Diceros bicornis minor: one gene and its partners. The protein of the gene in region 4 interacts with the protein of the main gene of each other region in a pairwise test. Links are inferred from orthologs where the notes say so. Each region holds a gene or a part of one and is shown on either strand. Other genes may lie near its edges.

Region 1 (7,960 bases), on a different chromosome or scaffold from region 4:
TGGATCTCCCTTCCTTGCAGACTCTAACTCCAGCTGCCTCCTGTACAGCCACTCTTTTTTTTTTTTTTTTTCCTGTAACAACCTTTATTCCTCTTCCTCCATAGAATTCACAAAAGGGTCATCTTATCTTTTCAACAATTTATGTTGGCTCATTATGGGAAGTACACTTGCATCTGTACAGCCACTGTTGATGGCCCACAGGCATTTCAAACTTCACCTGTCACCAACCAAACTCATTCTCTTTCCCTCCTAGGTCTACACTACTCACTGTGTTCCACATGTGGAACACTGGCACCACCATCTACCCAATGTTAAGGCAGAACCTGGGAAGCAGGCCTGCCTCGTCCCCTGACCTCACCCCCAACACTCAATCAATTACCAAGTCCTATTCGATTCTACCTCATAGAATATCTCCCAGATCCTTCACAGCTCTGTCTAAGCAGAGCAGCATCATCTCTTGCCTGGATTAATTCAACAATCCCCTACCTGGTCTCCATATACTCCAATAGTTTCTCACTGTCTTTAGAATGGCTTTAAATCCTGAGCACAGCCTCCAAGTCTTTTGTGGATTTGGCTCCTACCTACCTCACCATCATTCATTAATCCATTCATTTAGCAAACACTGAGTGCCTACTATATGTGAAGCACTGTTCTGGGTGCTGAACATATATTAGCGAACAAGAGAAACAAAACTTTTTACCCTCACAGAGCTTACATTCTAATGGGGGAGACAGATGAATAAATATGATATATATTAGGTTAAAAGAAGACACGTGCTATGAAAAAAGAAAACAGGGCAGAGTAGAGACATTCGGGAGTGTGGAGACAGGGGTGGGATGTTGCCATTTTTAATGGAGTGGCCTCTCTGAGAAGGTGAAGAACTAAGGGAGTAAGCCTACAGGCGTATGAGGACAGAAGGAACAACCACGGCCCTAACTCGCCATGTTTAAGAAAGAATGAAGCCTATATGGGTGGAGTGAAGAGAACAACAGGGGCAGATCACACAGGTCTTTGTAGACGGCTGTAATCTTCTAGCTGTTGAGCTGTGAGTGGACTATAGGGGGTATGGGATACTAAATTAGGGGGCTACTGCAATCATCCAGGCGAGACATTGCAGTGGCTTGAACAGGATGGTGTTCCAAGGTGGTGAGAAGTGGTCTGATTCCGGATATATTTTGAAGGTAGAGTCAACAGGATTCCCTAACAGATCAGATATGGACCAAGAAAGAGAGGAGCCCAGGGGTTCTGTCTTGAGCAAAAGGAAGGATATCATGCTATTGACTGAGATGAGGAAGACAGTGAGAGAAGCAGGTTTGGCGAGAAGGTCAGGATTTCTGTTTTGGACACGTTAAAATCGGGATGCTTATTAGACTTCAAATGGGAGATGCCAAATAGGCAGCTGAAATATACGAGTCTGTGCTTCATGGAAGAAAGCAGGACTAGAATACAAAGTTGGGAGAAGTCACCAAATAGATGGTGTTTAAACCATGAAACTGATGACAGCACCAGAGAAGTGACGAGAAGAGGTGCAAGGACTGAACTCTGCAGCTCTTGAATGATAAGAGGCTGGGGACAAAAGAGGAGCCAGAAAAGACTATTGAGAAGTGAAGAAGTAGTGAAACAGGAATGCACTGTCTTAGAAGTCAAGTAAAGATACTGCAGCCAGGAGGCAGGTGTTCAATTGTGTCAAATGCTGCTCTCCGGACAAATGAAAGATGAGATCTGAGAAATGGATTAAGCAACTCGGAGGGCAACACTCACCCTAATAAAAAAATACTGACCACCTTTTAATTAATCTCTCTCCTCTTTAGCCCCTACACAATATTGTTCTTTCTGCTCAGAACACTCTGCACTGGTTTTTCAGGTCTCAGCACAAAGGTCATGCAATCTGGGAAGCCCGACCCCCAAGGTTAATGCTATTGTTATCTGAGAAACTATACTTTCTTTATCGTTGAGATTATTATTATTATTAGAATAGTATTAATGTAATATTATTATAATAATATATTACAATTATTATTTTAATTGTCTCTCTCTTGGGCTAGACTTTAATATCCTGAAATCAGGCACAAGTCTATCTTGTTTACTTCTTTACCCAAACCATCTAAACTAGCACAGTGCGAAGCACGTAGTAGACATCCCATAAGTAATTAGAGAACAAATGGATAAATGCTAGGAAAACTTAGTAGCGTGAGCAATCGCTTCCTGTTGGCATAACTTCGGGGGTGCCTAGAAAGGAGTGCCTAAAACTATGAGTGGGCGTGGAGGGTTCTGACCACCCTAAATTCGCTCCAGGGCTGGGTCTCCCATTCCATTACCTTTGCAAGGTGGTAATATAAACCACGCTCCTTTTATTTTTTATTGCAAGTTATTCCCGTGGCGGACATCTTTCAGCCGTCCACTCCAATTAACCGCGCTCTTCCTCGCACCCAGCCCCCGCCACTCACCCAGCCGCGTGGTGCGCTCCCGCGGCACCGAGGGCCGGTTCCCGGTCCCATGCTCGGCCTCCAGCTCCTCCTGCTGCTGCCGCGCTTGCTCCAAAATCCGTCGGGTCAGCCGGGGCCCCACATACTCTTCCTCCTCTTCTCCGGTTCCACGGCCCCGCCGCTTTTCCCGGGCCCCTGCCCGCACCGCGTCCCCAGCCAGGATCTGCTCGGCCAGGGGCGCATGTTTTTCCTGAACCCCGGCCCCGCGGGCCGCCTTGAATTTGGGCATTTTTCTCGAAAACCTCGCCGGGAAGGTTCACACGTGGGGACGGGAAAAAGCCCTGATTGCGCTTGCGCAGTGAACCCCGCGCCCAACAGGCGAGACGGCGATCACAGCGTTCCCTAGCGTTCGGAGGCCGGGAGTGCCATCAGCGACGCCCCACCCCCTAAAAGAGCTCACTGGTCCTGGAGCAGGACTCCTGAATAAACTCATTGCCTTTAACGTTGGCTTCTCTAAGTGGTGGCAGGCCGAGCCACGCTTTCCTAGCTTCATGGATCTAGGCCCGGCCACATGAGAATTTCTCCCGCGGCAAGCCTGGGCCAGGGTCGGACAGTGACGTCACTGCATGCGTCACCGAGGAGGCGCCTAGACAAGCCCCTGTTCCTCGTGGGCGCGTCGACTGGGCGCTCTGTTTTTGCGTCATTTCCGGAGCACCTCCCTCCAGCGAGCCTGGCGGTAGGGGGCTTCACTTAGCGTGGGCGGCCAGAAAGCGCTGCCTTTCAGCTGTTGGATCCTGCCACCTTCCTGGCCCGACACCATGGGAGTGACTTGGTAGGAGTGCGAGGGATTTTGTGGGGCGGGGCTTGGGGTCGTGAAGGGGCCCTTGGAGCCTGGACTGTACCCGGGAGGAGGAGCGAGATCAGGGTCCGCCGTCCCTCAGGAGCTGAGCAAGATGTCCTCGGATTGTGTGGGTGAGGGGGACACCATGAGGGTCGCGGAGTCTCAGGGCCTGTTTCCTCAGAGATGCGCCCCTTCCTCTTGGAAGGCGGCTGGTAAAAGGTTTTATCCCAGGAACCCATCAATGGTTGTGTACCTCGTTCGTTTTTTCTTGGTCCATATGCCTGCCCGTGGGGCTGTGGTACTGCTGGGGGTGGAACTTTAGGGTCGGAAATAGGATGTCCGGACTAGGATCCATCTGCAGGCAGGTCTGGAGGGGTTGAGGGATAGGCAAGGAGGAGACAGTATCTTTTTTAGGTTTTCGCCTGCTCCTCCTTACAGCCGCTAAATGCAGTTAGACCAGCCTGTATCTGGTTCTAGTTTGACCATTTTAAGATTCTCTGTCTAGAGGTAAAAAAGAAGCTATTGGGAATTAGGAGATTGGGGTTCCAGGCATGTCACCTTTTCAGGATCCCTTCCTACTATGTTTAATTACATGGTTGGTCTAGTTTTTATGGACTTATTAGCTCTAACATGTTATAAGTCTGGGTGGCAGGGAAAGGTGTGGGCCTAATGCTCTTGGAGGCATTAGTTCCAAAATGCTAGATTTCAGGGCTTTTTTTTTTTTTTTTAATACCGGGAAGTGTGAACATCTTTCCAGTCAGAGAGGGCTGGAGGCCAGGATATCTGAAGCTAGTGGCTGTAGGCTTCTTCTATAAGAACCTGTGGGCACTACTCCTCCTGATAACCCAGGTTCTTGAGGTTTGTTGGTGATTGCACCTTTGTTTCCTACAGTTGTCATCAGAGCCTCCTCAGGTTCTCTAGTGTAAGGGGATATGTGAGCGATGGGAATGCAAAGTTTGAAGCACAGAGGCTTGGAACCCTGGAGCCCCTGTTCTTTCAATAGAGAAGGCCTACAGAGGGAAGGGCTCTCTTTTGGGACCATTATCAACTTTCTCCGACTCCTAGGACTTCTGACCTCAGTAGCATCAGTTTAGGGAGTCTCTTATATTTCAAAATAAGGCACATCATTATCATTGCTTATCAGTGCTTTTTCTTTCTTTTTTTAAATTTATTTATTTCCCCCAAAGCCCCAGTAGATAGTTGTACATCATAGTTGCACATCCTTCTAGTTGCTGTATGTGGGACGCGGCCTCAGCATGGCCGGAGAAACCACGCGTCGGTGCGTGCCCGGGATCCGAACCCAGGCCGCCAGCAGCGGAGCGCGTGCCCTTAACCGCTAAGCCACGGGGCCGGCCCTATCAGTGCTTTTTCTTATGGAGAGTAGTGACAATTATTAGCAACGTCAGGACTCTACTTTTATATCTTCATTTGGTTGACTGATCCTAAAGTAATGCAGTGTCTCCCAACATTCACTCACATATGATTCTCCTTAGGACTTTTGTATAGCCAAGTACCAGCTCTACTATTATTTATTAGTGTTTTCTTTTAAATCTATTTATTTTCCTTTAAAGTATTTAACAGGCAACTGTGTCCCTAGGGAGGCAGTCCAGTATGGTGGTTAAGAGTGTGGACATGGCGCCAGCTTGCCTAGCTTTGAATCTTTGCTACAGCACACCAAGCTGTGTGACCTTGTGTGAGTTATTCAACCCCTCTGTACTTTAGTTTCCTCATTGGTAACAAGGAGATAAATAATAGCACATCTTATAGGGCTGTTGTGAGGATTGGAAGACTTAATTCATCTGAAGGCCTTTGGACACTGCCTGGCACATAGTTTGCGCTTGGTGATTTTTACCCACCCCTCTAAAGGGGAAGCCAATTTCACTCACCATAGAAGGAAATCTTGGAAATAACGTTTTTTGTTTCATTGTTTTGATTAAATTCTTGTACGTACTGTTGCCTCTCATCCCCGAAGATTATAAACTCGAGGCTTGCTTTCTTTTTGATCTTAGGGCTGTCGAATAGAACTTTCTGTGGTGATGGAAATGTTGTATATTAGCAGTGTCCAGTACCCTAGCCCCCAGCCACTATTGAGCTATTGAGCCCTTAAAATGTGGTTGCAGCAGAGGAGTTGAATTTTTAATTTAATTTGTTTTATTAGTTTAAGTGTAAATAGCCACATGTGGCTTGTGTCTGCTGTACTGGACAGTGCACGTTCAAAGTGTTGTAGAGTTGGTAAAAATACACTATCCCCAAACTGAGGCTTTCTCCTTCATACAGTCAGAAGTGAAAGAATCACAAAGCTCATTATACAACTCAGTGTTATCGAGGGCTCAGTCTGTGTGCCACCTAAAATTTTCTCATGCTACGCTTGGGAAGTGCTGGTGTGATAGATAGGAAGTTCACTGCACTTCTCTGCGAGTCCTGAGAGATGTCCTCAGGGACCGTGGGCCTCTATTTCCTCTGTTTTAAAATGAGGGGGTCAGGGTCAGTGGTCTCGAAGTTAATTTCTGGCCCTGATGAGCTGTGATTCTGTGAGTGAGTGGTTCAGCGAGTGCACATGTGTCATTGCATATTGATGGTTTGGTACTCTCCCTTCCAGTGTGTCCCAGATGCCTGTCGCTGAGGGCAAGAGTGTCCAGCAGACCGTGGAGCTCCTCACCAGGAAATTGGAGATGCTTGGGGCAGAGAAGCAAGGAACATTTTGTGTGGACTGTGAGACCTACCACACGGCTGCCTCTACCCTTGGCAGTCAAGGTCAGTGAGAAGGGTCTGTGTGATGGCTGGAACCTGGCTTGGAGTTGATAGATGTTCATGTTCATTGAAATCTTTCTGTTCTTCTGCTAAAGGTGGTATTCTTAAACGTGTGGCACAGGTGTTTCTTAATTCATTAATTCTTGGTCCTTCATCTCTTAGACTGGGCCTATGTTTTAGTCTTTTTGCACTTTGCATTCTTAAAGCCGTGTTTCTTGGAGGGTTGGTCACTGACTGACTAAATCATTTGAGTTACTTGTTAAAGGTGCAGATTCCTGGCCCTGCTTACCGACTGACTGGTGCTACAGGCCTCATAATCTACATTTTAACAACCTTCCCAGATGATCTTTATGCAGTCTGAAGTTTGAGAAAGTCTCCTTTTAGGCTCAGAAGTCTTCGGATATGATTCTTGTAGAGCTTTAGAGTTTTCAGAATTTTCTGCAGAAAGGCTTCCTGTTGCCCACACCTAGCCAGTGGCCTTGGCTACCTCATTAGCATAACCTTGACCAATGAATCATCTCTTGTTTTAAATGTATTGAGAGGTGAGATGGGCTGTGGATGGTCATGGTGGTAGGGAGGCAAAGAGGATCTTTGAATATGACTTAGGGAACCTGAGTTCTCTTAGTCTTGGCTCTGCAGTAACTTGACCTTGGACAGTTCCATACCAGTGATTAAGAGCCTAGATCTCGGAACCAGGTAACTGAGTCCTGGCTCTGCTAACTGCAACTTTAGCTAAGTCCCATGACCTGTGACTGTTTCTATGTCGGTCATTTGCCTCTTTTCCCATAGATCTCATCCCTGCCCTTGACCTGCACACTACAACTGCCAGGCCCCCTTTCAGTTACCTTGGGTCAGTGAGAGGCACTGGGGAAGATTAGAGGATGGGAGAAAGGGAGACCACAGTATTGCACTCCCTCTCCCTCTGCTTTGGGCAGTGGTTATGGCTGTGACTCCTCCTTGCTTCTAGCTCCTGCAAGGCAGCCTTTGTTCCTGGCTCTTATAACAGCATATCTTCTCTTTTTCCTTCCAGCTTTAGGGATGGTGGTGGCTCCCTGTGTTGCTAATCTTTGGGTGGCCTCACCATTCCGTTTGTTTTTCAGTTCTTCCAACCCCTGTATTTCGCTCCCTGTATTAAATCCCCTCTAATGAAGCTATCTGGTGTGGGCTCTGTGTTTGCACCCTTCCTAATACAGTTCTCTCATCTGTAAAATGAAGGTAGTCATAGTACTTACCTCGTAGGGTTGTTGTGATAATTAAATAAGTTAATACATGCAAAGCACTTAGAGCTGAGGTTGTCATGTAATAAATATTTAATAAACGGTAGCTAACAGCTGTACTGCATTTCATTGTTGATAAAAATGCAGTGTTACCATTTATTTTGCCTTCAATAGGAAGGAAGTAAGAATCAAAAGCGATAACGGTTATGAAAGCATTTGGAAAACAAGGCATTTGTATGTAGTTATAAGATGGCATACTACTTCTATGAAACTGCCTGTGTGGGCTGTTTTCCTGATCAGACCTTTACTTTCAAGGAGCTGTAGTCTAGTTGGGGAGACACCATATCAGTGGCAGGCAGTGTGGTAGAATGAAAAGAGAGATGAACTTGAGGTCAGAGGCCTGGATTGGAGTTCCGATTCTGCTGCTTACTGGCTCTGTGTCTTCAGATCGGAAGTTCTCACAGTTGACTAGCGTGAGCATCACAGGGGGCTTGTTAACACACAGATTGCTGGGCCCCACGCCCGGAGTTTGTGATTCACAGGTTTGAGGTGGGGCGGGGAATTTGCATTTCTCACAAGTTCCAGGTGCTGCTGCTGCTGCTTCTGCTGCTGGCCTGGGACCCACTAGCTTCGTTTTCCTCATCTGTAAAAGGGGAACAGTAATGCTAGTTCTACTTCCTTCACAAATATATGCAGGTGTGAAAGTACTTTGTTGTGATTAAAAA
Region 2 (7,279 bases), on a different chromosome or scaffold from region 4:
GGTTTCCCTAGCTGAGAAAAGATGAAAAAAATCTGCCTCAGCATTAAGTCCTTGCCAGGCAGGTAGAAGATGCCTCCAGATGCAACCAGAGGCCCTAACAGAGTCATGAGAAAGCCAGGGGGCAAGTTAGCCTGAACTCGCAGAAACACCAAAGCATCCATAGGCCTCAGGCTGCAGGACCCTGGAGGCAGGCCAGAGCCATGCTCCCCCAGAGGGAAACTCCCACCAAGGCCAGGGGAAGCCAGGCCTCTCCTCCAGGCTGTCACCAGCCCACAGATTCAACATCAGCAATCTTACCAACAAAGATCCACACTGCCCCCCCTCCAGTCCTCACCCCCTAGCTAACAGTGCTTTGGCATTCAGGAAAGAATGTACCCAGAACTTCAAGGTGAAGAGCAGCATGGGGTAGGAGAAGGAGCACTTCTGGTCAGAATCCCATGTCTGCGATGTCAAGCCTTTCCACCTCTCACCTCCAAAGTTTTCTCAACTTTAAAAGTGAGATCAATCTTAAGCCTAACTGCTTTATCTGTTTTCCAGGAGTTTCTTTCTTTCTGGATCTCATAAAACCATGTGAAAGTGCTCTGTAAACTGGAAAACACTTCATGCAGCTGCTCGTTTTATAATTGATACCATCTTTTCTTTCTGTTTCAAGGCATAAAGCACTTATTATCAATGCACCCAGGCAGGTAAGAAGACAGGTTTTGGAAACCCCTCCCCCCGGGGGGGGGGGGCGGAGTAGGACACTCATTCACCCTACTCCCAACCCCCAACCCAAGGGATAAAGAAGAACTAAGAACCAGAGCTGGGACCAGAACCCAGGGCTCACTGACCACCACATCACACCACCTCCTCTGAAGTCCATTCTGGCTCCAGATCACACGCCCAGAGCGCACTTCCCAGACACCACACTGCCTTCGCTCCCCCTTTGTTGACTAGATCCACCCAGTTTTTTAAAAAATTATTATTTTTTAAGTCAGCACTCCCACCATATGTGGCATTCATTTCCAGAGAAGGCCTGCCCCGGATTCCCACGGACAGATGTTGCTTTGTGCCTGCCTGACACCACTGGCAGCCCTTGCACAGCTGCCCCGAGCAGGTGGCCAAGGATGGAGTCCACTGCCGGCCCAGGAGCAAGGATGACAATCTCTGCAGGGCTCAGGCCCTGGGGACCCTCTACTCATTCCTCTGCAGCCTGGGACCCCAAGGACATCCCCCACCCCACACACACTCCCTTGGCGCAGAATCAGACCTTAAAGGGGGCTGAGAGGGAGAGACAGAAGGCCAAGATAACCCCCCCACACACACCCCCTAATTCTCAGCCAGGCGCAGCTAAGCTAAGAGAAGGCCCTGGGGAATGCAGAGAAGTCACTGACCCCTTCTATCAGCCATCTGTGAGCTCCCGCCTGACCTAGCTAGCGCAATGTGGAGGATAAAGGAGGTCCAGACAGATGGCAAAGCGCTTTGGGAAGGAGGGCTCTGCAGGAATGCGAGGGCCGAGGCGAGGCCCACTTTGGGGTGCGTTTTGTTATCTCATTGGCTCTGAGCCCCCTCTATTCTGCATCTACCCGCAATCTCAGACTCAAAGGAGAGCAAAAACAGTCGGGGGAGGCGGGGAAGAAGACCCTACTCTCTGCCACTTGTCTCTCATTTGAAAGTCAGAGCATTGCACTGCAACTAAAGTGCGTGTGTGCGGAGGGGGCGGGAGACTGGCACAACCGAGTCTAAAAATACTCGATAAAAATGCTAATCCCGAAGGCAAAGCAAGAACGAAGAAGGAATCTGTCAATCATGAGGCTCCCGCTCCTCACCCACAGCCCCAGCTGTACGGACTGCATTCCTGTTGAGGAGGAAAGAAGTGGGGGGACAAGACTGAAGAAAAGAAAGGGAGAGACACCACCACCTCCACGAGCGCGGGCCGCGGGGGCGGGAGGCGGCGGCGGAGGAGGGGCTCGGGCCCGCGGAGCTGAACAAAGCGGGCCTCAACTTCTAGCCCGCAGCTCCCCGGAGTGGGGGTGGCCAATTCCAGCAGCACCCCCGTTTCCCGGAGGTGAAAAGCGAATGTGAGGTCTGGAAGTGAGAGTGCCGCGTGGAAGCCCCAGGCTCTGATGAATCTTTGCAAATCCAGAGAAGGTTTTGTTTGGGGTCCCCTCTAACCCCTTTCTGTCCGCGCTCCCACCCCCCCTTACACACACACACACACACACACACACACACACACACACTCTCCCTCCCGCTCCAACCCCACCCGGCCGGCCACGCCACGCCAGGGGGCTGGGCGGGCGCGCCCCCGGGTCGCTCGGACCCCCACCTGGGGATGGTAATGCACTTGGTGTTGACGTTCTGCGTCGTGATGGCCTTCTCCAGCTCGTCCAGCTGCCCCGTCTTCTTGAGCTTCTTGACCAAACTCTTGACCGCCTTCTCACACCACTTCTCCTCCTGCCCGTTCTGCTCGCCCTTCTTCCAGCCCAGCAAGCGCTTCACGATCGGCGGGGTGAAGGGCAGGATAGACGACATGGCTGGGGGAGGGCGCCCCCGGCGGGGCTGCGCGCGGTGGGACGCCGGGGGCGCAGAGGGGCGCTCGGCCGGGGCCGGCCGCGGCCGCCCAAACTTCGCCTCAACTCTCGGCGAACTTGCCCGTGCTCCGGGCCGGGCCGCGGCGCTGCAGCCTGCGGGGCTCGGCGCGCAGCCCTGCGCCCCGAGCGGCTCCCACGGCGGGGAGAAGGCCGGCGGGGGAGACGGGCAGGCGGCCGACAGCGGCGCGGGGTCGGGCAGGCCCCGAACGCGGGGCGGAGGCGGCGGCCGCGAGACTCGGAGTGGCAAAAGAAAGTTTGGGTTTCCGCACGGGGTAGCTGTTTGGGTGCCGCCTCCAGGAAGGAAAGTCCAACCCCCAGCCAAACTTTGCTCGCCTTGTTCGCTTTGATGCGCAGATCCCTCCGCCTCAGCAGCCTCGCCTCCCCGCTTCCCTCCTCCTTCCCGGCTCCCTCGCTCGCTCGCTCGCTGGGCCGGCCCGGGGCGTGCGCCGCGCTCCCGCTCCCGCCCGCTCCCAGTCTGTGTTTCATGCAAATCCGCGTGCAGCCTCCTTTCCAGGCGCTGTCACCGCCCCCTTGCCGCCGGGGCTCCCCGCCTCCTCCCCCGCGCCCCGCCGCCTCCTTCCCCGGGCGCCCGGCCCGCCTCCAGCGTCCGGGAGGGCGCCCGGCCTTCCCCCGCCCGGCGCAGCGCACGCCCACGCGGGCGGCCGGGGACAGCGGCGGCCCTGGCTGGAGCGCGTAGGACCCCGCGCGGCCCGGACCTGAAGTCTTGCGGGCGCCGGGAGGAAGTCGTGGGAAAGGAGCGGCGAGAGGGGCCCTAGGCGGGAGGGCTGGGCTCGGGCGGTGGCGTCCGCTCTGGGAACCCACACTCGGGAAGCTCAGTTGGAGTTGCCGGCCGGAGAGGGTTAGACTCGCAGCGAATGAGCGCCCTCAGACCAAAGGCTGGCGATGTACCCCTGGGAGGACCCGGGTCCGAGAGAGGGCGCACGGAACGCTGAGCCCCGGGAAGTGGTGGCGCACGTGGACGCGCGCGCGCTGATCCCGGTCCGGGGCCTTGGCCGGCGCTGGCGCCCCGGGGGCTGTTTTGATTCTCTCATCGGTGAGATCACACCGGCTGAGAGCCCCAAGGCTGTGTGCGAAGGAGGAAGTTGGGATGGGGAAGAAGTGGGCTCTCAGAAGGGGAGATTTGGGGACTCCAGTGACACCCTAGGTAATAGCTGGAGCCAGGGGTCCCTTGGGCTTTGTGAATCAAGTGCCCGGCAGAAAATAGGCCTCAAAGACATCTGTTGAATTCGTGAAGGAATGAATCGGGACGCTTTAGAATTTATCTTGGGGGAAAAATGACATTGCAGGGTGTTTTGAATCTTATGATACAGAAAGATCCGAAATTCGACACCCAATAAACAGAAAGAGAGAGAGCTTTGTTTCCAAAGCTGTGAACTCGCAAAAAGTGGGGCAAAAGGGCGGTGCTCGGGAAGTCGATGTGTTCAAAGTTAGCCTTGGTGGGAAGCAAAGAAACACCGGGATATTGGGGGGCTCGGGGGCTCTTCTCCCCACCAGCAGAATTCAGGGGCATCTGCCCACAGACCCCTCGGCTGCTTTCAGGAGTTACCCCAAGCCCCAGGGCCTTCCTCTGCTGACCCTCCCCTACCAGGCCTCTAGCCCGGTGTCTAAGAGCTTTGTTTATTTTTAACAGCAGGAAACCCCCGTGGTGAGAAAGAAGTTATCTGCAAACCCTCAAGCCAGTGGGGAGTTACAAAACCCTGTGAGGTGTGGCTGAATCCACAAAGTCAGCCCAGAAGCTGCAGGGGTCCCTGCCTTGTGGAGAGAACGGCCTCCCACAGGCCTGTCAGCTGCTGCCACTGAGCGCTGCGCTCTCTGCCCTCCCCTCCTGACTCCCCGCCTGCTTGGCCCTTAAAGGAGAATCCCTGAACCCCAACTGAGGCTTAACGACCTGGTTCCTGTTCCTTGCTGGTCCTCCAGCTGACCCGCAGCTGCTATGGTCTTAGGTTTCACTCCCTTCTTCCCAGCCCTCATCAAAAAAGAGAAGGAAGGAAGGCAATCAACCTTTATTGATGGCTTTCTTCATTCCAAGTCGCCCAAGTGCTGCCATCTAATTTAATCCTCACAATGGCCCTTGAGGTGGATGTCCCTCTGCCTCCCGTTCACAGAGGAGGCACCTGAGGTGCGGAGAGATTACAATACTTACTCAGGATTCCAAGCAGCACAGCTGGAATTTGAACCCCACGCATTGTGAGGCTTCAGTCCCAGTTCTTGCCACTGCACCCAGCTAGCTGCCTTATAGAGTTGTGGAAGGCAAAGATGACATCATTGATAGAGCTCTTTGCAAAACAAAAGTTCTTTACACAGGCTCGCTATTGTGCCTCTACAAGAAATGTTTGCTCACCTGTAAAATGGGGCTACAAATAGCTTTGCTCTCCACCTCCTAGGGTGGTTGTTGAAATCTAATGCAAACAGTCAAGTGTTGTAAAGGAATAGGACCACACCTTGGGGTCACTGAAATGCCGTGGAGAGCCTGTCACAGAGTGCGGATGAGGGAGCTCGGTTCCGTTCGAGGCGGATCTATGGAGAACCTTTGTGTTTCAGTCCTCCTACCCATTTCTGGGAAAGCTGAAATGAAAGATGCAAGTGCCTAACCTCAAGGACCTCACAGCCTGGAGAAACACCAAGGGGTGGCAGGTGTGTGCCTGGGAGAAAGGGGCCCTTGCAATCATTATCTCCTGGTAGAACATTAATTTTAACCTGAACATCAAATCAAGCAGGTCCAACTGTTGAGAGGCAGGCAGATAAAGTAAAAGGACGTCAAGCTCCATCAGTGACCAAGCTGGCTTTCAATCCTGGCTCTCTCCCTCCCTTCACCTCACTGAGCATTTGCTCTTTCAGCTATAAGAGTGGAGCAAACCGTTCTTCTTGTGCAGAGTGGTGAATCTAGAAAGAGCATTAAAATTGTTCTCCTCCAATGCAAGCCTCTCATTTTACACAGGCAGAAGTGGTATCTGGTGAAGGGAGGTGATATGCACTATGGAGTAAGGAGAAAAGATCTGAGGATTAAATATAGTGGATGGGCCTAGCGTGTACCTAACCCCTAAAATCATGGCATTGGAAGGGCCCCTTGTTCAGCCCTCTCATTTTCCTGAGGGGAGGAAATAACTAGTCAGCAGCTAGTTAGGGCAGCTGAACCATGCTATCCTGCACTTTCTTCACATGCAGGCATCCATGTGACACGGACAGCTGTGAACGCAGAAAAACAGTGCTGGACCCAGGTGTGAGTCCAAGAAGTCCCATTTCTGGGCTAGTTCTTGCTCCTCTGGCCTCGCTTTCTCCAGGAGAAGACTCAAGGGAAGAAGCCCCGTTTCACAAAGCAGCGAGGAGGGCTGTGGAATGGATTCCTCCCAGTGCCAGGGGGACCCCAAATGCTCCCTTGACTTTGGGCAGTGAATGGGTGGGTGGCTCTGGATGCATAGGAACTCCGTTCTGGCGCCTGGTCTCCTGGGGCCCAGCCAGGCAGGCTTTTGTAGAGGTTGTCCTTGGAAGGGAAACATTTGCCCGGTTAATTTTTCATCATGGTAAGTGCAAAGTTCAAGAGAGGTGGGATGGGGCCGGAGGCAACAACTCCGTTTCCCTGGGAATAGTCCTATCAGGGAATTGCCTCACTAGCCGACTTGCCAAAGGGTTTTTGTGTGTTTGGAGCAGCTCCCATGTGGAATACTGGAAAGAAACGAACACCTGACTTCAGTTCTGATTATTTTTCCATTAGCTAACGGAGGTTTAATCAACAAGTGGTGACTCTAGAAAGAGCATTAAAATTGTCCTGTCTTCATTTTGCAGAGACATAAAGTGATGTCTAGTGAAGGGAGGTGATTGGCAATATGGAGATAAGTCAGGATCTGGTCAGGACTAGGATTCTCATCAGAGTGCCCTCACCTAAGAGAGAGCCTTGGTCTGTAGCTCTGTGTAGCCCCTGACACACGCGAGCTCTCCCGGGGCACCCGGCAGAGCTGGGTTAAACTTCTAGCTCTACTACTTCCAGCTGTGTGACTTTGGGCACGTCCCTTAACTCCCTGTTTGTCAGTTTCCTCATGCATATGATGGGAATAATAATAACACCTACCTCTTAGGATTGCTGTAAGGAATCAAATAATCGGTGTAGAGAGCTTGCCACAAGCACATAGTACATCCTCAGTATACATAGACATGACTGATGCTCACCGTGGACTACTATGCAAAAGTTAGAAGTAATGAGTTCTGTATACACAAAACAAATAGATGAATCTTAAAAACCATTCCAAGTGAAAATAGTAACACACAGAATGAAATAAATAACATAATGCTCCTTATGTAAAAAATGACATATATACAAAACAATTGTATACATTTTGAAAGAGGTCATATAAATAAAAAAATACACATTGAACCACTTTACACCCGTTAGGATGGCTATTATCAAAGAAAAAAAATAGAAAAAAAGTGTTGGAAAGGATGTGGAGAAATTGGAACCCTTGTGCATTGCTGGTGGGAATGTAAAATATTACAGCCACTGTGGAAAACGGTGTGGAGGTTCTTCAAAAAATTAAGTGTAGAATTACCACTTGATCCAGCAATTCCACTTTTGGGTATATACAGGTATTTATCAGATATTTGCACACCAGTGTTCATAGCAGCATCATTCATGATAGCCAAAAGATAGAAGCAACTCTACTGTCTACTGATGGATGAATGGATAAACAAAA
Region 3 (7,243 bases), on a different chromosome or scaffold from region 4:
AAGCATCGAGACGAAAAAGAACTATGAGCGCAGGGCTGGGCGGTCCGAAGATCTGGTGACCCATGTTCGCAGAGCAGAGCCCTGGCAGAATGCCAGGCTCCCGGCTCGGAGTCGGAGTCGTGGTCTCTGCCTTCCTTGCGGGAGGAAGATGACTTGGAGGAGGAGGCTCCTGGGGGCAGTCTCACTGGGAGGGGGCTGTGGTCCAAAGAACCCGGCGGAGGCTAATCCAGATATGTGGGCGGGCTCCACAGAGGAACTGGAGATGGACCAGTGTAGAGTCGAAGGGGCAGCAGCCAGATGCCCTCTTCTCCAGGCTGCTTGGCACAGAGCTGGGCACACAACCAACCCCAAGGACCAGCGGCCCGACGGGCAAGGAGGGAGAGAGACAGGCTCCACCTGCCCACCAAGCTGCTGGAGAGGTGAGACGGCGTAGGGCATCGAAGGTTGGTTCCACGGCTGAGGGGAAAGACTTTTAAGGAGATCAGCTAAGTCTGAGGGGCAAGAATCTGTGGCTTTCAGGAAGGGAAGTTGGGGAGGCAGCCAGGAAGATATCAGGAAGAAAGAGGAAGGGCGTGTGCAAGATCCTGAAGAGGAAAAGGCAGCTGAATTTAGCAGCGGGAGGGCTGTGAAGGTCAAAAGTATCAAGGACTCTCAAATAAGCCCAAGGCTGGAGACTCTACCCACCTAGGTCATGGGGTGGGGTGACGGAGTGGGGAGCATAACAGTGGAGCTGGCTCAGAACCTGGCTGTGCCACTTACTAGATGTGTGACCCTAGGAGAATTATGTGGTCTCTCTGTGCCTCACTATCTCCATCTGTAAAATGGGGAGAAATCCACCTTATAGGGTTGGGGTAAAGATTAGACAATGCATATATAAAGTGTTCAGAACAATAACGGCATGTATAAAGAACTCAAAAATTTTATTTTTCAGTGACCTCCCTCCAGTGGTGGGTGAATGCAGGGGGGGCAGGTGAGGGGGAGGGGCATCTGCCTCTCTGGGTTTAGCCCCAGGTGGTAGAGCTGCAGCCCCCTCCCCCCAGACCAGGGATATTGCAATGACTGAGGGACAGACTTGACAACCGCCCAGAGACCACTGCTGGGGAGGGCTGTCTCCCTGGGAGAGCCGGCAGAAGGTCAGGGAGGTTGGACAAGGGTTGGGACCTCCCCTGCCCACAGTCACACATCCTGGGTTTTCCAGGGCAACCCAGATTTCAAAGCCTCTGCTCCCTGGTGCCGGTGAGGACAGCAGAACTCATCACCCTATGTCCCTGAAGTCCGGTCACTGCAAATACAGGGCCCCACTCTGAGACTGCATTCTTTGCAAATGCAGGCTCTCCCTGGCCAAGGAGAGGGCTACTTTATCAAGGGCGTGCGGAATGCGCCGCAGGGGCAAAGATAGGTGTTCACCCAGGCTCAAGCGGAGGGACAGCCAGGGAAGGTGAAAGTCCAGGGGTGGCCACCACCTCCAACCTTAAGAAAGATGTGTTCGGGGTAGGGAAGACTGCAAATGCTACTTGAGAATTTAAATGCAGCTTCCTCTTTAAAATCTCCCAGAACCAGGCCCTTCACTGCGCCAGAGTTCTGCTCTAACTCACAACAGGGGGCTAAAGGAGCTGGATTCCGGCTCGCCCTCGCTGCTGGGACCCCCCAGGCTGCCGATGTCAATGGCTCAATTCCCCAGTGCCCACGAAGGCAGCGGCCCAGGCCCTCCTTCCCAACCTCGGGACTGGCCCGCCCCACCCCCGGCCCTGCGAGGGGGAAAGCGAACTGCCCAGGGGACGTACGTGGTGGGAGGGCCCGAAACTGCAGCCTTCGAGGGCGCCCTGCGGGTGCGGCGACCTCTGCCCGGGGAGGGGGCGGCGCTGACTGGCACGCGGTTCCCCGGGAGGGTCTGGCTCTCCTGGGCCAATGAAATTGCAAAGGGGGTCCCGAGGCTGCTCCGATCCCAGGGGACGTGCCGCCCCCATGCCCTGCTCCGGGCAAGGTCCTCTGGGCCGGGCCCTCCTCGCGCCCCGCAGAGGGTCTGGGCAGGGGGGTCCCGCGGGCAGGGCGGGCCCGCACGCGGCGCCCGAACGCCGGGCCGGGCGGACCGCGAGCGCCCAGCCCACCTCCAGCCCGCCCGGGCCCCCGACTCACCGGCCTGGCGGAGGCAGGATCCCGGCGTCGCCGCAGCGCCCGGGGCTCGGCCCGGCCCGGCCCGCCGGCGGGAGGCAGCTCCACGCCGCCGCCTCCTCGGCCCGCCCCGCTCCCGCCCCGCTCCCGCCCCTCCCGCACACTTTCCACAGGAAATGATTAACTCGGGCCGCGGCGCGTTCCCATGGCAACCGGCTCCGACCCCGGCGGGGGGCGGCGCGCGCGCTCCGGCACAGGCTCCCGCGCGCACTCACGCTCGCTCCCGCGCGGGGCGCCCGCTCCGCCGCCTTCCTGGTCCCCCCAGACCTTCCCCCTGGGCTCCGCGCTCCCCGCGTCCCGCCCGCGCTAGTGCACACGTGAGCGCTCACCTGCTGGTGCACGCACATCGGCGTACGTCCTCATGGCCCTTACACTAGCACACATATGTTCGCGCACAGGCTCTAGTTAGTACACACGAACGCATTCACAGTTCTCACACGCATCCCACACCAGTTCATATGTACATGCTTTTGCACTTACACTCTAATACATCCTCAGATGCTAGTGCAAAACTTTCACACTCTGGTTAGTACTCACACACACTTCTCACATGTGCTCCCTTGCCATCCTTGACACACTCACAAATTCTAGTACACGTGTTTTCTTCACATTCTAGCAACATTTTCACACATGCTCTTAGACACTAGATAATACGTGTGTACACTTTCACATGTTCTCATACACTTTACACATGCACTCACATCATACCACACTCATACTTTCACACAAATACTTCCCCATGCTCACACACATGTTCCCTCACATGCTCTAGGACACATTCGGTCACATTGCAGTATACACATTCTTTTAAATCCTAGTACACACTTTCACACGTGCTCTTACACACTCTAGTTACACACACGTACTTTTACACATTATCACACACATGCTCCCACTAGCTCTGGTAGGAATACATAGGCCGTGCTGCCTCCCCAGCCACAGCTCCACCCACAACCCCCACCTCCCCCACCAGGCAAATTTACATCTTCCAGAGCAGGCAAGCTACTTGGGATTTTTTTAAGGTAAAATATTCCTTTTAGCTCCCATGAAAACACATTCTGAGTGCAGCAGCTCCGGGAGCAGGCAGCGGCTCCCGGTGTAGCCCCGGAAGGCCCTCCTTGTAGGATGCCTTGGAAGAGGCCTCGGGGAGGCAGAGAGCCAGCCAGCCAAGGAGAGGCAGCTGACCCAGAGGAGCTACTCTGTTCTTTGTCTCCCAAACAGAGGTGGCATTTACTCCAGAGTCTGCAGCAATGTTCCCCCTCCAGGCTGTGGAAGGAGGAGAAAGAATGAAGCTTGGAGGCCAGCCCAGTGCAGGCTGATGGTTCCGCAGACAATCTGAGGAGGGTGGGCACGCTGCCCCTTCCTGATTGTCAGGGGATGGCCCAGGAGGAGCAAGGAGGGCACTGGAGGGGGCGTGCAGCTCCAGGAGGGTTCTCCCCTGCAGCTGCCCAGGCGCTGGGCTGGCGGTCAAGCATCTCAACGGGAGACAGAGCCAAGGTCCTGGGCCCAGATTGTTCTGGATGCCAGACCTGGACACTCGCAATCCCCCTACAGGAAGTGAGCTAGTGTGTGTTTTATTTTCTAACTGAGATGCTGAGTGAAGGCCCAGTAGAGGATAGATGTCACTCTCCTGGGATGGGTCCATTGAGAGTTAGAGATTTCCAGCTAAGAACCCTGGGTAACCCCGTCAATGGGAGAGAAGGCCATAATTTGAGAGTTACCTTCTCTGAGTCCCCCTGCCTGCCTCTCCAGACAGCAGTGGCCAGGGAACGGTAAGGATGGATGAGGGTGAAACTCCTCTAGAGGCCTGACCAAGTACCTCCCTTTATTATAGTCTTTGACTGGAGGGGGGGTAGCGTCTGCCTTCACAGTGCTGGTGTAACCCCTGTCTTACTCGCTGGCTGGTACATTGACACTAACTGCAGGCTCCTTCTGCCAAAGCCAGAGCCAGATTTTTAAATTAATAATAACATTTATTGTTCTTTTTCTCCGATTACAAAAGTAATAGATGTTCATTGTAACCATCATCCCACCCACTAGAGATAAATGCTGCCAACATTTCAGTACAGTCTTTTTTTTTTCTATGCACATAATAGCTACCATTTATTCTAAGCTAATACGGTGCCAGCCGCTGTGCTAAGCTCTTTAGAAACAAGATCCCATTTAACCCTGAACGCCCTATGAGGGGGGCACCATCATATCCCCAGTTTTTCAGGAGAGGAAACTGAGCCTCTGAAAGTTCATTCACAAATCTGGTGTGTGATAAAGCTGAGACTGGAACCCAATAGGTGTCTGTGTGTACGTAGATACACATACATACAGTATTCTCAGATGTATACAGCTGCAAGAGTTTATTAAGATCAAAGCGCCAGTGAAAGAAAAAGAAAATTGAGGGGCTGGCCTGGTGGCGCAAGCAGTTAAGTGCGCGCGCTCTGCTGTGGCAGCCCGGGGTTCGCCGGTTTGGATCCCGGGCGCACACGGACACACTGCTTGGCAAGCCATGCTGTGGCGGTGTCCCATATAAAGTGGAGGGAGATAGGCACAGATGTTAGCCCAGGGCCAATCTTCCTCAGCGAAAAAAGAGGAGGATTGGCAGATGTTAGCACAGGGCTGATCTCCTCACAGAAAAAAAAGAAAATTGAGGTGTTAGGAGGAGGAATTTTCGGAATTCTAGCAAAACTCTGACGAAATGGGAAAACAAATTGCTTCATGACTGTTGGAATTTAGTTTAAGAATGCACAATGTCACCAGGAAGTGCATACCAATGACTTCAAGGTCATTTTTATCCCAGGAACTTCGCTGACTGTTTCATGTGGAGGCTGCCAACTCTCCCCTGGCCACAGGGAAGGTGGAGGATTTGCCAGAAACCTGGCCATCCCACGCTGGGGTCCTGAACCCATGAGTGAGGACTCCTGGGTTCAGCCTTTGGTCTTGACCTCCTGCCCACCTTCTGGGGGAGGCAGAGCTGTCTCAGGGAGGGCCAGACAAAGCAGTGACCGGAACACTGCAGATCCGTATCCACATCCACTCGGTCCCCCAGGCGGGGGGTGGCAGCGCCATCTTTGTGTTCTAAGAGCCTGAAGCCCCTTAACTCTCAGGCATCCATCAGAAAGATAGCCACAGTCCAGGCCAAAGGAGTTCCACCCAGAAGGAAACCAAAAGAGAGGAATAACAAGCCAGATTGTGTTGAATCTGATTCTCATAGTAACCCAGAGTAAAGCACACGTAAGATGTACACGATTTTCCGGTTTTAACGATTTCACTTGAGATTCGCTCGCCTCCAGGCCTCCGCAATGCTGTTTTTCCTGCCCAGAAGTCCTCCACTTCGCCCCGCTCCCACCTGCCTCCACCCTCCTTTACCTGGCCGACTCCTCCTCCAAGTCCTTCAAGCTTAGAGGTCACCTTCCTTGACCCCCGCAGAGACCACAGTCCCCCTACTGCTCATCCCCCTGCAGCACCCCCCACACTGGATTGTAATCACCCCTCCTGTCTACACCATCAGCTCCTTGAGGGCAGGGCCCTTTCCTGACTTGATCACAGGGAAAGCCTCTGCAGTGCCTGGCGTCATGTAAGTTTTTATTGAATAAATAAATAGATCACGTATAATTCAGACAGGAAGAACAGGGTGCATGAAGCATATCCGAGCAGACCTTCTTCCCGTATAAATTCATGATCGTTCTTATCGGAAGTCAGAGAAGAATCCTTAAGGAATTATTTCAGTGTCGTCTGTAAGGAGCACCCTGCAGCTGTGACAAGTGTATATCCTTGCACGAGTCTGGGTAATAAACAGTTGAAGTTAGAAAACTTGAAGTTAGAGAACACCATTCTGGAGTTGAGTCACATATTAAGTAATCCTGACTCAATTAGCTGCTGTTTTGAATCCTCATCTTCAGATACCCCTGAAACAGTCTGTCCTGGACAGCGCAGAAAGAGCCAGGGAGCAGCCCGAGGAGGGGCTGGGGAGGGCTCTGCAGCCGGCCCTGCAAACAGGAGTGTGACTCCTCTCCAGCTGTACCCGACCTCTGGGTGTACCAGGCGGGCTGCCTCTTGGCTCACACCTGCCAGCTCTCAGGAAGCCATGCTCCCAAGTGGACATGAAGGGGTGGGGTCCTGGATGACCCTTGGCTGGACCGTACCTTCTGGTCGCTCTTGTCTGCTACAGACTGGGCTCCTACGGGCATTAGGTGCTCAATAGATTTGAACAAATGGTACCTTTCTCCCCTCTCTCCCTTTCCAGCTCCCTCTGTGCCCTCCCCATCCCTGCCCAAGGCACCTTCTTGCCAGAAGCTGTATTACCAGGGGAACAGTTCTCCCATTTCTAAAGGTCTCTGCAGGGAACCAAGGCCACCCTCCCCCCAATAAAACCACCTTGCTTTCAAATCCCTGGACAGTGACTCCCTTTCTGCATTTGCCAGGGAGGTTGGACCTAGCAGCACTTCCTGGCTCTCAGGGGAGGGGAACCTAAAACCTCTTTCTGACCTGAGGAACAATTTGGCAGAGATAGCCCCCTCTGAGCTCTCCAGGGTGGAAAGCAAACAGAGGGGTTTTTTTCCCCCTCTTTATCATTTCCTGTAGTCTAAAAAATGAGAGGAATGCAAACACTAAGGAGATGTGTACTTAAGCACCAGGTAATAAAAAGATTTAGCAAGAACGGCCGGGGAAGATAAGGCCCGCCCCCTCCCCGCCTCCCTCTGAGTCAGCTCTCCCGCCTGGGCTCCTTGGCCCAAAAGCTCCTGGCTTCCCTCCTTGCTCCTAAATCATTCCAGCTCCTTCTTCTAAGCCAAGGCATGCATTATTAACATCAATCCTGCTTCTTTTCAACTTCCCCATTCATTTTCCCCATCTGCTGCAAATTCTAGGTGGCTGTTTTTTTTTTTAACTTCAATTTTTTTTTTCCTGCATAAATGTAGGAGAAACCAAGAGAAGAAAAAGTCCCTAAATCCCGCCACCCTTAACTTATTGTCACTGGCTCGGACTTTCTTGTTGGTACTTGACCTTGAACAGATGTTATTACTATATTAAGGGGAGACAGTATAGAGCAATGGTTAACACTGGGATTAGAGGTCAGGGG
Region 4 (7,934 bases):
CGCAGAGGGGCTGAGAGGCCGGGGGCCGGCTGGAGGGCTCTGGGGTGGACTCACCGAGGAATCCCCAAGGTGGTCCAGGCCCCCCCCTGCCGTGGGCTTTGATTTCATGAGGAGGTGCAAGTTCCACTGCTGGGTAATGGATGGTGACCCCGGCCTCCCCCAGTAAGGACGAGCTGCGGGCATTTCTCGAAGCCCCCCAAGGGGGAGCCGACAGCACAGACTCAAGGCTGCCGGACTGGGTTCAACGCCGCCGTGTTCCTTCGATGCTGTGTGACTCTGGGCCAACGTCTCTACCCCTCTGGGCCTCAATCTTTGCGTCTGTTAAGTACCCACCTCCCGGGGTGGGCTGGCAAGGATGACACGGATTAAGACCAGAAACGCTCTTAGGACGACGCCTGGCATACACTAAGCATCTAATGAGTGCTTGGTGATCGTATGGTCACCCCAGGAGCCTGGCGCTTCACTCCACCAGACTGACCGGGACTTGGACAGCAGCTGGGGTCGCCGTGGCCTCCACGAGTTTATTTTCTCTAATTTGCTTTAAAAATGCGCATTTGTTAACCCCACTTAAAAAAAAAGAAAATCGCAATCTCATCCCAGACTCTGGATTCCTGGCAGATCTGGTGTGTGCCCCCAACGTGCCAGGGCCCCTCACTGGATAGAGGGAAGTGCGGGTCCAGTGCACGGAGACCCCAAAGCACAGAGAGGGGCTCTGGCCCCCCCGAGGTCACACAGCACTGTGGCAGCAATATGACGCTCGGTGTCTGCGACTGGACCACCCCACGGTCACTGTGCGGGGGGCAGGGCCGGGGTCGGGGAGCGGAGGACCCCTTGGAGGGGCTCGGAAAGGCCAACCAGACCCCTGCACATCGCAGACCAGAACAAATTCCTGGGGCCTGCCTTCCAACTGCCCGTGCCTCAGTTTCCCCACCTTTAAAATGGGCACGATTATGGGACAACAAGAAAGATTTAAACGAGAGGATGTCTGTTCAGTATTTAGCACATGAGGAGTCTAAGAAGCACCTCCAAGAGGCTGGATGTTTGTAAAAAAACCGAAAAACTCACTATTCTCCCTTTTTTCTTCGAGGAAACCCAGCATCCTTCAAAGAACACTTGTGTGTGGGTAAACTGAGGTCCAGAGAGGCCTTGGACGCCCCCCCAGGCCTTCTTCAACCCAGAGAGATCGGGTGCAACTCTCAGTTCCGCCACTTGCTTGCTGTGCGTCCCCGGGAAATCCCTAACCTCTCTGGGCTTCAGTTTCTCAGGCGGAAAATGGAGATAACAATAGCTCCTTCCCCTCAGATGGGGCAGAGGGCAGGCCCTGCAGACAGGTCAGCAGATTCCATTCTGGAGGGAGAAGCACCTTCGAGAATCTGTTGGCTGCCGGGACGCTTTCTGCAAAACTAGCAGAGAGACGTATAGCAGGCTACAGAATTCTTTTTTGGGGGGGTGGGCGGGTGGAGGGACCCCCGACAGTTATTGGGAGGTCTGTTATCCAGTAGGGATGGGGGTGGGAGGGGGGCTCTGAAGCCACGAGTCTCGGGCAAATGATTTAACTTTCTGCGCCTCAATTTTCCCATCTGTGAAATGGGACTGTTGGGAAGAGGAAGTGAGTTTACTCTTGGTCCAGTGCTCAGGATGTATACAGCAGGGGCCACGACCTCGCCCCAGGCCGCGGTGCTGCGCCTGCGCGGGGGCGCCCTCCTCACCTGTGGTACTGGGCCTGCAGCAGCTGGAACTCGTCCTTGATGCGGTCGCAGGAGTCCGAGGTGGTGAATTTGAGTTGCTGGGGTAGGTGCGACGAGCCCTGCGGGGAGGGGGCGGCCGGGTCAGGGTCAGGGCCGGGCGGGGGGCGGGGGGGCTCCCTCCCGGGCGGCCCTGAGGCCCGGCAGGCCCAGCTGCAGCGCCCCCGCCCCCCGCGCCCCACTTCCCGGGCCGGTGTTTACAGCCCCCGGCGCGCCCCCGCCCTCGCTTCCTGCCCTGCCTCTCCCGAGGGAAGCCAGGGGGTGGGCGCGCCCCGGAGCCGCCTTGTCCCCGCCACCCCCGGGCTGGGGGGTGCGCTGAAGGCCCGCCCTCGGGGACCCAGGGTGCGCCCTCTACCGCCCCTCCAAAGCGCAGGGAGGGGGGCGCACATTGAGCGCCCCGACTGCCTCTGGGAGGGCGGTGGGGACGCGTCCCGGGGAGCCCCCTCCCCAAGCTGGCAGGGAGCGAGGCCTCCCTGCAAAGTCCCGTTGGGGGAGGGGCCCCTCTCAGCGCCCCAAATCTCCTGGGGGGCCCCCCGATTCCCGGCACCCCTCCTCCGGGCCCTTCCGGGAGGGGTGCGTCTCGGATCTCCCCTCACTCCCGGGCACCGAGAGCAGCCCCTGCGTTAGGGGCGCCCCAGGCCCGACGCCAAGGCCGCTCAGGCCCTGCCGGGCTCCGTGGGGGGGCGCAGGGCCCAGGGGCTGCGGGGCGGGGGCGCAGGGCCGGGAGCTGGAGGGGACCCGGCCAGGGAGCTGGGGGGGGGGACTCCGGGCCCGGAAGCTGGGAGGGGGACTGGGAGCTGCGTGGTGGGGGAGCCCTGGGAGCTGGGGGGGGAGCAGCGCTGGGCCTGGAGCTGGAAGGGACAGGGCCCAGGAGTTGGGGGGAGGCGCCGGGCCCGGATCTAGGGGCGCACAGGGCCCGGACCTGGGGGGGAAATGGCCGGGCTGGAAACTGGGGGTGCCAGGCCCGGATCTAGGGGGGCACAAGGCCCGGACCTGGGGGGGAAATGGCCGGGCTGGGAACTGGGGGTGCCGGACGCGGGACCTGGGGGGGGCGCCGGGCCCGGATCTGGGGGGGGGCGCACGGCCTGGAGCTGGAGGGGGGTGCCGGGCCCCGACCTGGGGGGGGGCGCGGGCCCCGAGCGGCCCCGGCGGGCCCCGCTTACCGAATGCCTGCTTTGTGGAAACATCATGTCAGTCGCGGCGGGGGGCGCGGGCTGCGCCCCGGCTGTGCGCCCCGGCTCGGGCGGCTCGGGGCGCCGGGCGGCCGCGCCTTTGTCCCGGCGCCGATCGGCAGCTCCCGGGGCCCCGCCGCCGCCTCCCGCGCCCGGCCTCGCCCGCTTCCTGCGCCCCCTCCCCGCGCGCCCGGCCCCGGCGCGCCCCGGGCCCCGCTTCCTGCGCGCCCGGCGCCCTCCCCGCCGCTCCTATTGTCTAATGGCGGCGCCGCCGGCGGGGCCGCGGCCTCGGCTGCGCGGAGGCTCCCGCTCCACCTGCCGCCGCCGCCGCCCGGGCCCCGTGCGCGCCGCCGAGGGGGGCGCGCGCCCGGGGAGGCCCGCCGAGCCCCTCCCCCGGGCCGCCCCTCGCCCGGCGCGGTGACCTTGGGCACGGCGCGCGCCCGCCCCCCCCGCCCGGCGGCCCCGGTGGCCCTGGCGGCCGCGGGGGCCTCGGTTTCCCCATCTGTCAAGGAAAGGGGCCCGCCGCCCCCTCGCCACGGCCGGCTGTCATGGCGCGACCTGGACGCGTGCCAGGGACACGCTCTGCAGCCTCGGCTCGCCGGCTGCTCTCTCGAGCCTCGGTTTCCTCCTCGGAAGCAAGGCGGCGGCGGTACCGCCGGCCTCCTGGGGGCCGTGCCTTCCCCACGCGTTCATTGAGCGCCTACTGTGTGCCAGGCCCTGCTCCAGGGCGTGGGGGCCAGGGCGGGGGGTGGAGACAACGTCTTTACTCTGGGGGAGACGACATGGGGCACGCTAGAGACGAACACACACGAAGACACCAGCCAAGTCCCTGGCGGGTCAGATGGTGGTAACAGCTATGGAGAAAATAAGGCAGAGAGCAGGGCCAGGTAGGTGCGATTTCAAACAGAGGGAGGCAGAGAGGCCCTCCTTGAAGCAGAGAGGACCGGAAGCTGAGAGAGGGAGCTGGTGGAGGTCTGCCGGCGTGGAGGCTCGTTCAGGGAGGCAGAAGCAGCAAGTGCAAAGGCCCTGAGGCAGCACTGTGCCTGGCACCGGGGGACCATAGGAGGAAACCAGGGCAGGGAGGCAGGGCCAGCAGCTTGACGCATTCGCACAGGGGCCCGGCTCCCAGAAGGGCCTGCGCTTGGGTTAATGATCTACTGTTGTGGTCTGGAAATTCCTAATAATTTTTGAAGGAGGGGCCTGATAGTTTCGTTTTGCATTGGGCCCTGCAAATTCTGTAGCTGGTGACAGGACCAGGGCAGATGGTGCAGGGCCTGGTGGGCCGAGGGGAGGACTCGGGCTTTTCCCCTGAGAGAGGTGGGGCACTGGAGGGCTGTGGGCAGAGGAGGGGCGGCTCTGACTCAGATTTTGATGGGATCTGCTCGCGGCCACGTGGAGGACAGACCTCAGAGAAGCTGTTGAAATAATGCCCATCAACCCCTGGCACGTGCTAACCGCAGTCTGAATTCTCCTCGTCATCGTCTGTGCAGCTTGCCTCCCTGGATGTGTCTAACTTCTCTGGGCCCTTGCTTCTCCCATCTGTAAAATGGTTAGGACCCCGGTCCCCTTTCCTGGGCACATGAGGGGCCGGGACTAGGGTGACATAAATAAGCAAAATTTTAAGTCTCCCCCCAGAGCAAAAAGCCTTCAAGATAAATAATACTTGAATGCAGTATTTTAAAAAATAAAAAGGAATGCCCCCAAAAATTCATAATGCGCAAAATATCCACATATTAAATAAGACAGCATCTGAGGGGGCCGCAGACGAGTCTCGAAAATGCAGGGTCTCCCTAGTCCTGAGGCTGGAAGGAAAAAGGAACAAGTTTGGGAAAGTTCTTCGGTATTCCCATCGGGTTCTGGAATACGCAGACCCCACAAATCGTCCTAGAGTCCCTGATGGGGCGGGCTACAGAATTTTAGGGCCCAGGGCTGAAATGAAATGGCAGGACTTGTTGTTCAAAAGTGGTTAGAAATTTCGAGATGGTGACAACAGAGCATTAAAGCAGGCGCCGGGGCCTGGAGTGCAGGACCCCGTGGGGCAACACCAGACTCACGTCGGTGAAACCAGCCCTGTCCCCATCCCCACCCTCCCCCCGGACCATGGGGACCAGACACCTTTCTCGTGGGAGGCCGTCTGCGCCTGGCCCTCATCCAGGCAGGCACCCCCCAGTATTGGCCCTTGGGGACCAGCACTCCCACTTAGCACAGACTGGTTGGGGGGCAGAGCTGGGCCTTTCAGCCCAGGATTTTGACCCAAACCATGAGCAATAATAAACCAACCCACCTGTGTATGTTTTCACCATGCACCAGGCCCTGCCTTTCCCATGTTAACTTAGGTGCAGCCATTGTGCCCATTGGAAAGAAGGGAAAATTAAGGCACTCAGAGGTTTAGTGATTTGGCCAAAATCACACAGCCGGGAGGTGGCAGAGCCGGGATGTAAACCCAGGTCCTCGGGCCCTTGACCGCTGAGCAAGACTGCCCCTCCGGGTGGGGCACAAAGGCAGGGCATGGGGGGATACTGGCTGCGGGGGGCCGGGAGCCGGGACGGTGCGGGCCCCTGCATTCAGCGCTGAGGAGTGGGGACTTGACCTGGAGGGTACTAGGAAGCCGTGGGAGGCTATAGAGCAGGTTTCTGAGACTGCACTCTTGGCGTTCTGGCCTGGATTATTCTCTGTGGGGGGCAGTTCTGGGCACTGTAGGGGGTTGAGCAGCATCCCCAGCCCCACCCACTCAATGCTCAGAAGCACCCCCAGTCTTGACAGCCACGGATGTCCCCAGACATGGCCAGTGTCCCCTGGGGGACACAGTCGCCCTCAGCTGAGAAGCCCTGGCTTAGAGCAGCAGAGAGAGGCCTCTAGGGCCAGATGGTGGAAGGTTCTCGCTGGTCATGGAATAGACGAGGCCAGGTGGGAGGCCAGCAGACCAGGGGCACGCCCAAAGTGGGGTTTAGGAAGGGGCGGGCTGGGGCAGGCCCAGTGCGTGGAGGAGCTTTTGGGGGCAGAAAGAACGGAACACGGCCGGGGAGGGAAAGGCACGGCCAGAGCCCCAACCCAGGAGGGCACAGTCTTGATGGTGTAATTAATTTGGGGGGAATTGGGGCTTTTGAGCTCTTCCTGTCTGGGTGGCTGCCCCCCACACCCCTCGGCCCCCACCCGTCCCCGACTCCATGTCCTGCTCTGTCCTCTCCCCGGGGCCTCTGGGCCACCGCTGGGGCCAGGTCGGGGCGGGGACGTGTCTCCTGGATCCCACCATCGGGGACCGGCCTCGCGGGCTGCTTAGACATGCGCGGGGCCGCGGCCGCTGGGCAGAGCCAGGCACCGCCTGGTGCCTGATGGATGGGGCCGCCCGGCCATTCATCGGGGCCGGAGCAAACAGGTGGCCGCCCGGGGCCTCCCCCGTGGGGCTGCTGGAGCGGGAGCCTCCGCCGTCCTGCTCGGCCTGGCACGACCCCGCCGGGTGGCTGGAGGCCCCGGGACTTTCCTGCTCTGCACCTGAGTCCCCCCTTCCCCACATGGAGCCAGTATTCATTCATTCTCTCAGTAAATGTTTATGCACCTACTGTGTGCCAAGGTGCTTCTTAGTGGAGGTTTACAGCAGTGACCAAGGAGGACGAAATTCCTTCCCCTGCAGAGCTGACAGGCTTAAAACTTGACCTACGTCCCCTCCCTCCTCTGCGCGCAGCCCTTCAGGGCTCCCACCTCCCTCGGGGGAGAAGCCCACGTCCTCCCTGCTGCCCACCAGACCCTGCACGACCTGTCCCGTCCCCTCCCTGCCCTCTCTCCTCCCTCTCTCCCCCTCCTCCCTCTGCTCCAGCCACACGGGCTCCTCCCTGTTCCTCCAACACGCCAGGCCCGGTCCTGCCCCAGGGCCTTTGCACGGGCTGTGCCCTCTGCCTGGAACGCTCATCCTCAAATCCCAGCTTGGCTGATTCCTTCGTCTCCTCCCAGTCTTGGCTTAAATGTCACCTTCTCAGTGTGGCCTCATTGTGACTTCCCTGGTTCATTCAGGCAGGGCTGGGACCAGGCTGAGTGTACTTTCAAGTGAGACACTTTCTTCAGGCTTAACATTTAAGGGGACCCCAAAAATCTCGGTCAACACAGTAAGCACTATTTTAAGACTTTTTTTTTTGGTGAGGAAAATTGGCCCAGACCTCACATCTGAATGCAATCTATTTTTTTTTATTGTGGTAAAATACACATAAAGTTTACCATTAGAGACATTTAATACATTCACCATGTTGTGCAGCCATCACCACTATCTGGTTCCAGAACATCCCATCACCTCAAAAAGAAGCCCCGTCTCCATTAGCAGTCATTCCCATCCTCCTGCCCCAGCCCCTGGCAAACATGAACCCACGTTCTGTCTGCGGATCTGCCTGTTCTGGACATTTCACATCAATGGACTCACACACCGTGTGTCCTTCTGTGTCTGGTTCTCTCCCTGAGCGTCGTGTGTTCAGGGTCCGTCCACGGTGTGGCTGTGTCAGGGCCTCACTCCTCTTCACGGCTGTGTAATACTCCAGTGTGTGGGTGGACACGCTGTGTGGATCCATCATCAAATGGACACTTGGGTTGTTTCCATCTTCTGACAACCGTGAGCAGTGTCGCCATGAACACGCGTATGCAAGTGTTGATGTGGACGTATGTTTTCATTTCTTTTGAGTGTGTACCCAGGAGTGGAATTGCCATAGATCATGTAGTAATTCTATTTTAGCTCTCTGAGGAACCACCATCCTGTCCTCCACAGCGGCTGCACCATCTCACATTCCCAGCAGCCGTGCACAAGGCTTCCAATTTCTCCACGTCCTCGCCAACACTTATTATTGTCCATTTAAAACAAAACTCACGATAGCCATCCTAGTGGATGCCACGTAGCATCTCATTGTGGTTTTGATTTGCATCAGGCAATCTTTGAACAGATCACAACAAATGAAACAATTTCCCTAATGAACAAAATTTCAAACTTTAAGATAAAAAAAACAGGTCCAACACTTCCCTTGCGTGACCGCCTCCCGTC

What was found.
Region 1: the proteins of TLE5 (region 4) and BYSL interact in binary tests that used the Homo sapiens proteins (3 or more experiments, as listed by UniProt). The two-hybrid records come from large-scale screens. The link is inferred for Diceros bicornis minor from reciprocal best matches to the Homo sapiens genes TLE5 and BYSL.
Region 2: the proteins of TLE5 (region 4) and SMAD3 interact in binary tests that used the Homo sapiens proteins (3 or more experiments, as listed by UniProt). The two-hybrid records come from large-scale screens. The link is inferred for Diceros bicornis minor from reciprocal best matches to the Homo sapiens genes TLE5 and SMAD3.
Region 3: the proteins of TLE5 (region 4) and KIFC3 interact in binary tests that used the Homo sapiens proteins (3 or more experiments, as listed by UniProt). The two-hybrid records come from large-scale screens. The link is inferred for Diceros bicornis minor from reciprocal best matches to the Homo sapiens genes TLE5 and KIFC3.

What each region holds. Positions count from the first base shown.
Region 1 is NC_080753.1:23,515,732-23,523,691, forward strand, and holds the start of BYSL (bystin), read right to left. Parts: upstream 3,005-7,960; 5' UTR 2,716-3,004; coding exon 2,448-2,715; intron 1-2,447. Other genes in the region: MED20 (mediator of RNA polymerase II transcription subunit 20), read left to right, coding at 3,245-3,258, 5,867-6,021. UniProt on the Homo sapiens protein: Required for processing of 20S pre-rRNA precursor and biogenesis of 40S ribosomal subunits. May be required for trophinin-dependent regulation of cell adhesion during implantation of human embryos.
Region 2 is NC_080744.1:61,121,090-61,128,368, reverse strand, and holds the start of SMAD3 (mothers against decapentaplegic homolog 3), read right to left. Parts: upstream 3,004-7,279; 5' UTR 2,515-3,003; coding exon 2,309-2,514; intron 1-2,308. UniProt on the Homo sapiens protein: Receptor-regulated SMAD (R-SMAD) that is an intracellular signal transducer and transcriptional modulator activated by TGF-beta (transforming growth factor) and activin type 1 receptor kinases.
Region 3 is NC_080771.1:11,205,508-11,212,750, forward strand, and holds the start of KIFC3 (kinesin-like protein KIFC3), read right to left. Parts: upstream 3,011-7,243; 5' UTR 2,520-3,010; coding exon 2,502-2,519; intron 2,205-2,501; exon of another isoform or gene 2,137-2,204; intron 1-2,136. UniProt on the Homo sapiens protein: Minus-end microtubule-dependent motor protein. Involved in apically targeted transport. Required for zonula adherens maintenance.
Region 4 is NW_026691553.1:2,386,399-2,394,332, forward strand, and holds the start of TLE5 (TLE family member 5), read right to left. Parts: upstream 3,007-7,934; 5' UTR 2,936-3,006; coding exon 2,909-2,935; intron 1,808-2,908; coding exon 1,710-1,807; intron 1-1,709. UniProt on the Homo sapiens protein: Transcriptional corepressor. Acts as a dominant repressor towards other family members. Inhibits NF-kappa-B-regulated gene expression. May be required for the initiation and maintenance of the differentiated state.